Saccharomyces cerevisiae S288C: one gene and its partners. The protein of the gene in region 2 purifies or fractionates together with the protein of the main gene of each other region. This does not show direct contact. Each region holds a gene or a part of one and is shown on either strand. Other genes may lie near its edges.

Region 1 (3,656 bases), on a different chromosome or scaffold from region 2:
AGGCAGTTTGACCCCTTCATGTTTATGATGGTCATGGGTGTCGGCATTTCATCGAATATTCTATATAGCTTCCCATATCCTGCAAGGTGGCTAAGAATATGCTCCTACATCATGTTTGCTATCGCTTGCCTTATTTTCATTGCTGTGCAGGCACTACAAATATTACATTTGATTGTCTATATTAAGGAGAAAAGCTTCAGAGAATATTTTAATGACTTTTTCAGAAATATGAAGCACAATTTATTTTGGGGTACTTATCCCATGGGGTTAGTTACAATTATAAATTTCTTAGGAGCACTCTCGAAAGCGAACACGACGAAGAGCCCCACTAATGCCAGAAATTTGATGATATTTGTTTACGTCTTGTGGTGGTATGATCTCGCAGTCTGTCTAGTAATAGCGTGGGGTATCTCGTTTCTCATCTGGCATGACTATTACCCTTTGGAAGGGATTGGGAATTATCCTTCATATAATATCAAAATGGCATCCGAAAACATGAAAAGTGTATTGCTACTGGATATCATTCCGCTGGTTGTCGTCGCTTCAAGTTGTGGAACATTCACAATGTCAGAAATATTCTTCCATGCGTTTAATAGAAACATTCAACTGATAACGTTGGTCATATGTGCCTTAACGTGGCTGCATGCCATTATCTTCGTCTTCATACTGATTGCGATATACTTCTGGAGTCTTTATATTAATAAGATACCACCAATGACACAGGTTTTCACCTTATTCCTGCTTTTGGGCCCGATGGGCCAAGGAAGTTTTGGAGTCTTATTGCTTACAGATAATATAAAAAAATATGCGGGCAAATATTACCCAACAGATAACATTACAAGAGAACAAGAGATATTGACTATTGCAGTTCCATGGTGTTTCAAAATTCTAGGCATGGTTTCTGCTATGGCATTGCTCGCTATGGGCTATTTTTTCACCGTGATTTCTGTCGTTTCAATCCTGTCGTACTACAATAAAAAAGAGATTGAAAACGAGACAGGAAAAGTGAAGAGAGTTTATACCTTCCACAAAGGTTTTTGGGGGATGACTTTCCCGATGGGTACTATGTCTTTAGGAAACGAAGAGTTATATGTGCAGTATAACCAGTACGTTCCCTTATATGCATTTAGAGTCCTAGGAACCATATACGGCGGTGTTTGCGTTTGTTGGTCAATTCTATGCCTTTTATGCACATTGCATGAGTATTCTAAAAAGATGCTGCATGCTGCCCGTAAATCTTCATTATTTTCAGAGTCAGGTACGGAAAAGACGACAGTTTCTCCGTATAACAGCATTGAAAGCGTGGAAGAATCAAACTCGGCTCTAGATTTTACGCGTTTAGCATAAAATTGTTGGTTTTATACGTACATAATTGGCAAGCATTTCATGTAGGAGTCTCAATAGATAGTTTAATTCATTTGCACGGCGCTTTGCTGCTTTTGCTTCTTCACGTTGGTTTTCACTATGCCTGATATTTTTTGACGTCACTTAGTAAGCACGACCCTTGTCAATTTTTCGAGGATTTCGGAGCTTTCCATTTGGAATCTACTATTAAAATCAGTCTAAAAAAGTATAAGAAACACTTCTGGTTTTTCTCATGCGCTTCTCACTCTCAGTATATTTTGCTGCTTTCCTTCATATGTATATATATCTATTTACATATTAGTTTACAGAACTTTATGCTTTCTGCAACCAAACAAACATTTAGAAGTCTACAGATAAGAACTATGTCCACGAACACCAAGCATTACGATTACCTCGTCATCGGGGGTGGCTCAGGGGGTGTTGCTTCCGCAAGAAGAGCTGCATCTTATGGTGCGAAGACATTACTAGTTGAAGCTAAGGCTCTTGGTGGTACCTGTGTTAACGTGGGTTGTGTTCCGAAGAAAGTCATGTGGTATGCTTCTGACCTCGCTACTAGAGTATCCCATGCAAATGAATATGGATTATATCAGAATCTTCCATTAGATAAAGAGCATTTGACTTTTAATTGGCCAGAATTTAAGCAGAAAAGGGATGCTTATGTCCATAGGTTGAACGGTATATACCAGAAGAATTTAGAAAAAGAAAAAGTGGATGTTGTATTTGGATGGGCTAGATTCAATAAGGACGGTAATGTTGAAGTTCAGAAAAGGGATAATACTACTGAAGTTTACTCCGCTAACCATATTTTAGTTGCGACCGGTGGAAAGGCTATTTTCCCCGAAAACATTCCAGGTTTCGAATTAGGTACTGATTCTGATGGGTTCTTTAGATTGGAAGAACAACCTAAGAAAGTTGTTGTTGTTGGCGCTGGTTATATTGGTATTGAGCTAGCAGGTGTGTTCCATGGGCTGGGATCCGAAACGCACTTGGTAATTAGAGGTGAAACTGTCTTGAGAAAATTTGATGAATGCATCCAGAACACTATTACTGACCATTACGTAAAGGAAGGCATCAACGTTCATAAACTATCCAAAATTGTTAAGGTGGAGAAAAATGTAGAAACTGACAAACTGAAAATACATATGAATGACTCAAAGTCCATCGATGACGTTGACGAATTAATTTGGACAATTGGACGTAAATCCCATCTAGGTATGGGTTCAGAAAATGTAGGTATAAAGCTGAACTCTCATGACCAAATAATTGCTGATGAATATCAGAACACCAATGTTCCAAACATTTATTCTCTAGGTGACGTTGTTGGAAAAGTTGAATTGACACCTGTCGCTATTGCAGCGGGCAGAAAGCTGTCTAATAGACTGTTTGGTCCAGAGAAATTCCGTAATGACAAACTAGATTACGAGAACGTCCCCAGCGTAATTTTCTCACATCCTGAAGCCGGTTCCATTGGTATTTCTGAGAAGGAAGCCATTGAAAAGTACGGTAAGGAGAATATAAAGGTCTACAATTCCAAATTTACCGCCATGTACTATGCTATGTTGAGTGAGAAATCACCCACAAGATATAAAATTGTTTGTGCGGGACCAAATGAAAAGGTTGTCGGTCTGCACATTGTTGGTGATTCCTCTGCAGAAATCTTGCAAGGGTTCGGTGTTGCTATAAAGATGGGTGCCACTAAGGCTGATTTCGATAATTGTGTTGCTATTCATCCGACTAGCGCAGAAGAATTGGTTACTATGAGATGAAGCAACGAAACTAGACGTCCAATCTGCTGTTGCTATACTGGACTTTTGTACTCTTGTAAACAATCTTATATAGCATCCTGAAATACGTAGTAATTTTGTCATTTCTGTTCAAGGACAAGGGTTCCTTTTTTTTTCAGACTATTAGCTACTGTGGACTCGCTTGGATATTCAGTTGAGGATACATTCCGACTCTCGTTTACAATACATATGATTATTTTTCTTTTTGTTAATTATATAAAAAATAAAGTTATTTGATTTTAAGCTTAAAAATACACAAAATACAGAATAAGAAAGGAGTTTTTGAACAAAAGAATTTATCTTTTACTGCTTTCTAACTTTAAGCCTTCAAAGAAGAAGCTCTTCTCTTTCTGATTTCAGCCTTCTCAGCCTTTCTTTCAGACAATCTCTTAGCCAACAATTGAGCGTATTCGGCAGCAGCTTCTCTTTGAGCTTGAGCGTTTCTGACCTTCAAAGCTCTTTGGTGTCTCTTTCTTTGCAATCTTTGAGGAGTAACCAATCTTTGGA
Region 2 (2,924 bases):
AACCAACGATGATAAAAGTGACGATGATGATCACACAGTCGACGAAATTGATCATGTAGAATATTACGTTATGATGGACTTTGCCAATCTTTGGGTTTTCCAAGCGTTTACCTGTTTCTGCATCAAAAAAATCATGGAGAATAATGAGCCAGCAATGGCAATGGAAGACTTGAAGAACTTCATATTCCAAATTATCGAAATAACTAATTCTAATGATTTATGTTCACAAATATTTGACCAACTGAAGGATATGCAGACCATTGAGATGATAACCCAAATAGTGGAGAAAGATTTCTGCACTTCTTGTTTGCAAAACAACAACCAAAAGATAGATGATAATTACATCGTTGTGGTGATCGAGATTATAACGTCATTATCGATGAGGTTTCAAAGAGAAACTTCTGGTATGATAGTTATTTCCATGGAGAACTATCATTTACTAATAAAGATCATAAGACAATTAAGTGAACTGAACGAAGGAAATTTATCTAAGAGAGAAATCCAAATAGATGCCGTCTTGAAAATTTTTAGCTTTCATCAGGATTCCATTTTCCAACGCATCATCGCTGATTTATCAGCTGATAAACCCACAAGTCCATTCATTGATAGCATATGCAAGCTGTTTGATAAAATATCATTTAATTTAAGATTGAAGCTGTTCTTGTACGAAATTTTGTCTTCATTGAAATCATTCGCCATCTATTCATCCACAATTGATGCCCCAGCATTCCACACAAGCGGTAAGGTCGAACTACCGAAGAAATTGCTGAACTTACCACCATTCCAAGTGTCCTCTTTCGTTAAGGAAACAAAACTTCATAGTGGCGACTACGGGGAAGAAGAAGATGCAGACCAAGAAGAATCGTTTAGTTTAAATTTAGGAATCGGCATAGTTGAAATAGCGCACGAAAACGAACAGAAATGGCTCATTTATGACAAGAAAGATCATAAATATGTCTGCACATTTTCCATGGAGCCGTACCACTTCATCTCCAACTATAATACCAAGTACACAGATGACATGGCTACAGGCAGTAATGATACGACTGCGTTTAACGATTCCTGTGTAAACCTGAGTCTTTTTGATGCTCGGTTTGAGAGGAAAAATCCACATTGATCTCAGAATATATCCAAATGGATAAATTATAAATTTACCAATAACAGTAATTATGTGTCAGTTTTAATACCCAACCAATTGATTCCTCTAAATGATACCGTACCAAATGACATGTTTGCCACCGATTATAAAACTGGGGTTTATGAGCGATGGTTAAGGAGGATTAAGACAAAGTGCTCATCCGCTTACAAGATCAGTACTAGCGTGTACCAGTCTATTTAAACTGGAATGATCACCCCAAAGGGAACGCACGATGCTGTGGCCAAGTTTCAAAAAACTGACCTGCATCAAGATCTCGATTACATCGTACTGCAACAACGAAGAACACAGCTAGAGACGCTTATTAACGAAAGAGAATCTTTTGTCAAGAATCTGTGTTCTCTTTTCCACAAAATTCAAAATACCAAGAATTACCAGGAATTTGTTGATGTATTGGCGGAGAATAGGGATTTACTGCGAGAAATTTTCACTGTAGAGAACGGATTTCAAAAGCAAAAATGGATTAGCAACGACGACATTCCCCAGATAGACTGGGACAAGTTTGCCCTAGATATCAACGCTTATATAGCAGAGAACGATCAATTGTTGGCTTTGTATGAAGATGGCTTATTATGATCAAATAGCGGCTATGGACATTTTTAAACATATATTTATATATATATACATATATGCGTATATTGCATAAATCACAAAGAAGAACAACGCCCTAGATATAGTGACCCAAAATATTATGTTTAAGTTACTGGTTGGGGTTCATGTACATTTTTCACTATCTTTTAATTCCAAATGTGGATTGTGCTTCTGCAGATTTTGTTGCCTAGTATTCTGTGATGGAAAAAATTGCCCCGATGAGATATAAAATGAGCTAGCCCCCTAACCAAAGAAAGCAGGATTGGTTAGTACATAGAGAAACCAAAGCTGTTATGTTGTTCTATAAGCCTGTGATGAGGATGGCGGTGAGACCGCTAAAAAGCATAAGATTCCAGTCCTCATACACCAGTATTACTAAATTGACGAACCTAACAGAATTTAGGAATTTGATCAAGCAAAATGATAAACTAGTCATCGATTTTTATGCTACTTGGTGTGGCCCCTGTAAGATGATGCAACCACACTTAACGAAATTAATTCAGGCTTATCCAGATGTAAGATTTGTCAAGTGCGACGTGGACGAATCACCAGATATTGCCAAAGAGTGTGAAGTGACGGCTATGCCCACCTTTGTTCTTGGCAAGGATGGCCAACTCATCGGCAAGATCATTGGAGCTAACCCTACTGCTTTAGAGAAGGGAATCAAAGATCTATAAATTTTATATTCATGAGCACATGTAGTTTTTTTTTTTTTAGTTTTAAATATAAGAAAAAAGATAGTATATATATATATATATATACATATACATATAAAAGGAAAGTAAGCTTATACAATACACAAATAAATTCATATCAAAGAATAATGAACCGCAATATTCAGAAACACAGGAAAAGGAGGGGAAGGGATGAATGGTGAGGAAAGTAACTGTTTGTTTTAAAGCGTACCTGGATCATAACATAACAAATAAGTAGATAAAAAAGAATAGAGAGAAAGATATAATGACAATGAATTGAAGAATAGTTTAGTTAGTTACATTTGTAAAGTGTTCCTTTTGTGTTCTGTTCTTAATTTGGCGCTATTTTTTTATACTTCCAAATCCTTGCTTTACAATCACCGCTACCAGTAGCAAAAACGTTATATTCTGGACCCAGCGGAGACCCGTTTGCCACAGCCACAGATATAACTGAATTCCTATGACCTTGCAACATCAATAAC
Region 3 (3,074 bases), on a different chromosome or scaffold from region 2:
AGACCCTTTGGAGAGCTTTTGTGTAATGGAGCGTAACGAAAATATCATACCATACAGAAGTTTTGCATCTTCTTCATTCTGTTTGGAGTTTATTGTACCACTTGCGCTATTGGACGCCAATGTCCATTCTCTATCAAATATACAGTTACAATGCCTATCAAAGATCCAAAATGAATATATCCCCATGCTCCACTGATTTATGATTTATATCAAAAGCAGATTATCTTACGATAGTTCTGTATTTTTTTTTTGTATTTTTTCTGTAATGTATGTTGGAACTCAATTGTCGAAAATATAAGATCCGGAAATTCTTCAACACTAGTCAATAGTAAAGGACAACATTTCGACTGAGGCAAACCAGAATAAAAGTTGGTTGATTTTTTATGAGCCAGCGAGTCTATATAAAATAAAACACTATAAACAGATATAATTCGTAGACATAGAGATAACGCATACCTTATATGCTAGAAATATGAGAGACCTTAGCTTCATATAAGCCTTCATAACTCACCAGCTTCTTCGATAACGATTTCAGCTCTTGGTTTACCAGAAGCAGTACCGTATGATTCGATTGCTTTGACAATGTCCATACCTTTGGTTACCTCACCAAAGACAACGTGTTTTCCATCCAACCATGGACAAGGCACAGTGGTAATGAAGAATTGAGAACCGTTAGTGTTTGGTCCAGCATTTGCCATAGATAACAAACCTGCCTTGTCATGCTTTTTGACAAAATTTTCGTCAGCGAACTTGGAACCGTAAATGGATTTGCCCCCAAAACCGTTAGTCAAATCAGTGTCACCACCTTGGATCATGAAGTCTGGGATGATTCTGTGGAAAGGGACACCTTTATAGCCCCAGCCCTTTTCGCCGGTACATAAGGCTCTGAAATTTTCAGCAGTTTTAGGAACCACATTATCATATAATTCAAATTCTATTCTGCCGATTTTGGTTCCATTGACCGCAGGATCAAAGAACACTTTTTTACCTAGTCTAGAAGCAGAATTGGAGAATAAGCGGGACTGTTGAATGATGGAACGTTTAAACATGGTAAGTAGACCTTTGTAGTTGCTTGCTTTTTTTTTTGTTTCTTTATGGAATTAAATAGGAAAAAAATATTGAGTTTATTAATAATCGCGGTGCGAAAGGACTAAAATAATTCTTATTGGTTATTTTGATAATAACTAAGTACAAAAGTTCAAGCTAAAAAAGCTAACTCAGCTGCCTTTTCAGGTCCCACAAGATGTTTCAGTTCATCTTCACCCTTCAAGAAGGTATGGTCCTCAAAGTCAAAACCTGGTACCACTACTTCACTAATCAAGAAACCGTTGTCAAATTCTTCGTTTGGCAGAAGGAAACTTGCCTTAAACACACCTCCGGGGACAACCCATTGCGAGACTTCTCCATTCTTATAGTCAAAACCAACTTTAAATGACTTCACTTGACCATCAGGATATACTAGAACGTATTGACCCTTGCCTCTTTGTAAGATATGTATGATCCTGTTAATATTCTTATGAAATTTCCCAATTGGGCTGTCGGGGGTTAGTAGATAATAGATCAACGTAGATTGATTTCTTGTTACCATTTCAGTATTACCTGAGCCTCCATTTACTGGTTTTTCTACTTCCATGGTGTAGGGAGACCTATCTGTTTCCTTAAAATACCCACCTTCTCTATGCTTGATTAATTGCCAATCATTGATCAATTGTTGCAAACTACTTGGTGGCTCAGGCATTGGGACTTTAACGAAACTGGCCGGCTCTATAGCTGCATTTGCAGCTTCTTGTACATTGGCTGACATGCTCTCTATGGCGAATTCTGATTGAATATACAAGTGTTCAAATTGAAAGAAGTTTTCTTATGGAGACGGAGTTGAACATTTTCTGTTTGAATTAATATACATACATAAAAACTATACTTAGAGAAAAGAATAGAAAAGGCAAAGAAATATACATGGATTTTATCAGGTTTTAAGCTTTCACGTCCTTCTTTTTATCAGCAGATTCTAATGGCACGTCAGCTTTACGTTTCTTGTTCACGCTTTCATCTATGAGGCCTTGCATAACTCTTTTATCACCTGTGATACCGTTAACAGGCCTAAAATATGGTTGACATCTCCAGTATGGAACAGTTCTATATGAACCACCCCATGATTGCTTTTCGCCGATAGTAATTTCATCCTTAATAGCGATATCTGGCTGTTCAAATATTTCTTGCACTACTTTTTCGACAGGCTTCACTACTTGTTCCTCCCATTCTTCCCACGTGGCTTTTGCATTCATAGTAGCAAGTGTTGACCTAATATCAGTATGATGCGGCAAGAAAGGCCTTAAAATCTTAAAAAAATGTGATTTCATTGCTGTCTTGGAGGCTTTAGATTCCTGGCATTCTTTGACAATCTGGAAATACTCTCTGATAATCTTATCTACGCGTGGAAATATCTTCTCCTTGTTCTTAGTTTGGCCTACATTGAAAACACCAGGATTGTATAAGTTCCCCTCAGCACTCATCACTGCGTCAGCACCGATATGTTCCATACAACGTGAAATATCTTCAGGATATAAGATATTCCCGTTAGCAAAAAACACGGTTTCTTTAGGTAAATTATCTCTTAGGTATTTGATTGTTTCCCAGTTAGCTAAACCAGTTTTTTGTCCTTTTTGCTCTCTTACTCTCCCATGGACGGTTAAAAATTGAGCTCCAGCATCCAGCACCATCTTGGCGTAATTCAAACTCTTTTCACAGTCGTCAAATATACGTATTTTTGCTGTAACTGGAACTTTCAAATTTTTGTGCAAGGTGTTGATTAAATTGTGTATAAGGTCCCATTCTTCCATCAAAAATGACCCATAGTGACCTTTCTTAGCTATGCCTTGAGGACAGCCCAAATTCAAATCTACCGCATCGCATTTATCTTCCACCAGTTTAGCTGCCGCCAATAGATACTCTGGGTCATTAGCGCAGAACTGTACAACCAACGGCCTATCTACGCTAGAGCCGTCTAAGGAAGACCAATTATCTTCTCTATATTTCTTCGAGGTAGCAAATAATTTTGCATGTAACATGGGAGT
Region 4 (2,516 bases), on a different chromosome or scaffold from region 2:
ATGTTTCATGTCCCATTTGTCTAAGGAAGTTTGATAACTTACAAGCACTAAATGCACATTTAGATGTTGAGCATGGGTTTAACGATAATGAAGATTCACTCGGTTCCAATGACAGTCGTTTAGTCAATGGTAAACAAAAAAAGGCCAGATCTGTTGATAGCAGTGCGCAAAAGTTGAAAAGAAGCCATTGGGAAAAATTCAAAAAAGGGAAGAGCTGCTGTCACACATGTGGAAGGACTTTGAATAACAATATTGGCGCCATTAATTGTAGGAAATGTGGTAAACTGTATTGCAGAAGGCATCTTCCTAATATGATTAAACTTAATCTTTCCGCACAGTATGACCCCAGAAACGGGAAATGGTACAATTGCTGCCATGATTGTTTCGTCACAAAACCTGGCTATAACGATTATGGCGAAGTAATAGATTTAACACCAGAATTCTTTAAGGTACGAAATATAAAAAGAGAGGACAAAAACTTAAGGCTATTACAATTAGAAAATCGGTTTGTCCGTCTAGTTGATGGTCTGATTACACTCTATAACACATATTCTAGATCCATTATTCATAATTTGAAGATGAATAGTGAAATGTCCAAGTTAGAACGTACAGTTACTCCATGGAGAGATGATAGAAGTGTACTCTTTTGTAACATATGTTCCGAACCATTTGGGCTATTACTAAGGAAGCATCACTGCAGATTATGTGGTATGGTTGTTTGTGATGATGCAAACAGGAACTGCTCAAACGAAATAAGCATAGGTTATTTAATGTCTGCAGCGTCAGATCTGCCATTCGAATACAATATACAGAAGGATGATTTACTTCATATTCCTATATCCATAAGATTGTGCTCGCACTGTATCGATATGCTATTTATTGGCAGGAAATTTAACAAGGACGTTAGAATGCCGCTAAGTGGAATATTTGCTAAATATGATAGCATGCAAAATATATCCAAAGTAATTGATAGTCTCCTGCCCATTTTTGAAGACTCATTGAATAGCCTGAAGGTGGAGACTGCCAAGGATTCTGAAAATACACTTGATCCAAAGAATCTGAATGATCTCGCTCGATTAAGACATAAATTACTCAATTCTTTTAACTTGTATAATACACTAACAAGACAGCTCTTAAGTGTAGAACCTCAAAGTCATCTAGAGAGACAACTTCAAAATTCGATCAAGATAGCTTCCGCTGCATACATAAACGAAAAAATCCTACCGTTGAAGTCGCTTCCGGCAATTTTGAACCCAGAGGGCCATAAAACGAATGAAGATGGGCAAAAAGCTGAACCAGAGGTAAAGAAATTATCGCAACTAATGATCGAAAACTTGACCATAAAAGAAGTGAAAGAGCTGAGAGAAGAATTGATGGTCCTAAAGGAACAAAGCTACCTTATTGAGTCCACAATTCAGGACTATAAGAAGCAGCGTAGATTGGAGGAGATCGTCACACTTAATAAGAACTTAGAAGAATTGCACTCAAGAATACATACCGTTCAATCGAAGCTGGGTGACCATGGGTTTAATTAAGACATATCTTTATTATTCGATCATTCGCGGAATCTCCACGCTAATTGGTCCGCGGAGCCAATCAGATCTATTTAAGGGTATAAATTTTTCTTTAGTTTTTTTGACTTTTCACACAGAAATTTTAGATAAAAGGAAGTATTATATCGGAACATAACGTATATAGGAACTAGCTGAGTGAGTTAAAGGATGTCGACAGTTAATGTTTTGAGATACTCTGCGTTGGGTTTGGGGCTATTTTTTGGTTTTAGAAATGATATGATTTTGAAGTGTAATGCTAAGAAGAAAGAGGAGCAGGCACAGTACGAGGAGAAATTGAAGCTGGTAGAGGAGGCAAAGAAGGAATACGCCAAGCTACACCCTGTAGTAACTCCTAAAGATGTGCCTGCGAACGCCTCATTTAATTTGGAAGATCCTAATATAGATTTTGAAAGAGTTATTCTTAACGCCGTTGAATCCCTGAAGGAAGCTTCAACATAAATAGAAGCTTCAACATAAATAGGATACTAAAAATGCACATTAGCTCGCACTGAATGACGAAGTTATGATGGATTCTCGTTCGCTAGATGTTCCATATTTTTTTCTTCATTCGTTAGTGCACAAACAATAAGGAAAAAAATGAAATGTATATATTCTAGAACATACTAATATCATACGTATCGTATTGTAAACAAAATTCACATTCCAAAAATTTTTCAGATTCTTACTTTATATTATTTGCATCAAGCTTTATTAACAATGACACGTTATTTTATATGTACAGGATACTATAATGTCATACTATTTAGGATCACCTTCTAACTCTGCTAAAAACCCTTCCAGGTGGTAGGCCATATTTTTCTCTGACGGCGGCGACTTTGGCATCCCATTCGCTTCTCCAGATATGTGCCCCAATAGCGGTTAGATTGTATTTCTTCGTAAATTGCCTGATATCAAAATCATCTCTACTTAGTTCCTTTCGGTCAATCTCTAACATGTTAGGAC

What was found.
Region 1: the proteins of TRX3 (region 2) and GLR1 fractionate together in Saccharomyces cerevisiae (co-fractionation; one large-scale study listed by BioGRID). This does not show direct contact.
Region 3: the proteins of TRX3 (region 2) and CPR3 fractionate together in Saccharomyces cerevisiae (co-fractionation; one large-scale study listed by BioGRID). This does not show direct contact.
Region 4: the proteins of TRX3 (region 2) and TIM11 fractionate together in Saccharomyces cerevisiae (co-fractionation; one large-scale study listed by BioGRID). This does not show direct contact.

What each region holds. Positions count from the first base shown.
Region 1 is NC_001148.4:373,823-377,478, forward strand, and holds GLR1 (glutathione-disulfide reductase GLR1), read left to right. Parts: upstream 1-1,679; coding exon 1,680-3,131; downstream 3,132-3,656. Other genes in the region: SSU1 (Ssu1p), read left to right, coding at 1-1,347; 40S ribosomal protein eS6 RPS6A, read right to left, coding at 3,469-3,656. UniProt on the Saccharomyces cerevisiae protein: Catalyzes the reduction of glutathione disulfide (GSSG) to reduced glutathione (GSH). Constitutes the major mechanism to maintain a high GSH:GSSG ratio in the cytosol.
Region 2 is NC_001135.5:257,538-260,461, forward strand, and holds TRX3 (Trx3p), read left to right. Parts: upstream 1-2,040; coding exon 2,041-2,424; downstream 2,425-2,924. Other genes in the region: SRB8 (Srb8p), read left to right, coding at 1-1,117; AHC2 (Ahc2p), read left to right, coding at 1,346-1,732; chromatin-silencing transcriptional regulator TUP1, read right to left, coding at 2,774-2,924.
Region 3 is NC_001145.3:108,977-112,050, reverse strand, and holds CPR3 (peptidylprolyl isomerase CPR3), read right to left. Parts: upstream 1,050-3,074; coding exon 501-1,049; downstream 1-500. Other genes in the region: TRAPP subunit BET5, read right to left, coding at 1-186; CFF1 (Cff1p), read right to left, coding at 1,199-1,804; DUS1 (tRNA dihydrouridine synthase), read right to left, coding at 1,974-3,074. UniProt on the Saccharomyces cerevisiae protein: PPIases accelerate the folding of proteins. It catalyzes the cis-trans isomerization of proline imidic peptide bonds in oligopeptides. This isozyme is required for growth on lactate at high temperature.
Region 4 is NC_001136.10:1,111,499-1,114,014, reverse strand, and holds TIM11 (F1F0 ATP synthase subunit e), read left to right. Parts: upstream 1-1,721; coding exon 1,722-2,012; downstream 2,013-2,516. Other genes in the region: PEP7 (phosphatidylinositol-3-phosphate binding protein), read left to right, coding at 1-1,535; mitochondrial 54S ribosomal protein mL38 MRPL35, read right to left, coding at 2,323-2,516. UniProt on the Saccharomyces cerevisiae protein: Mitochondrial membrane ATP synthase (F(1)F(0) ATP synthase or Complex V) produces ATP from ADP in the presence of a proton gradient across the membrane which is generated by electron transport complexes of the respiratory chain.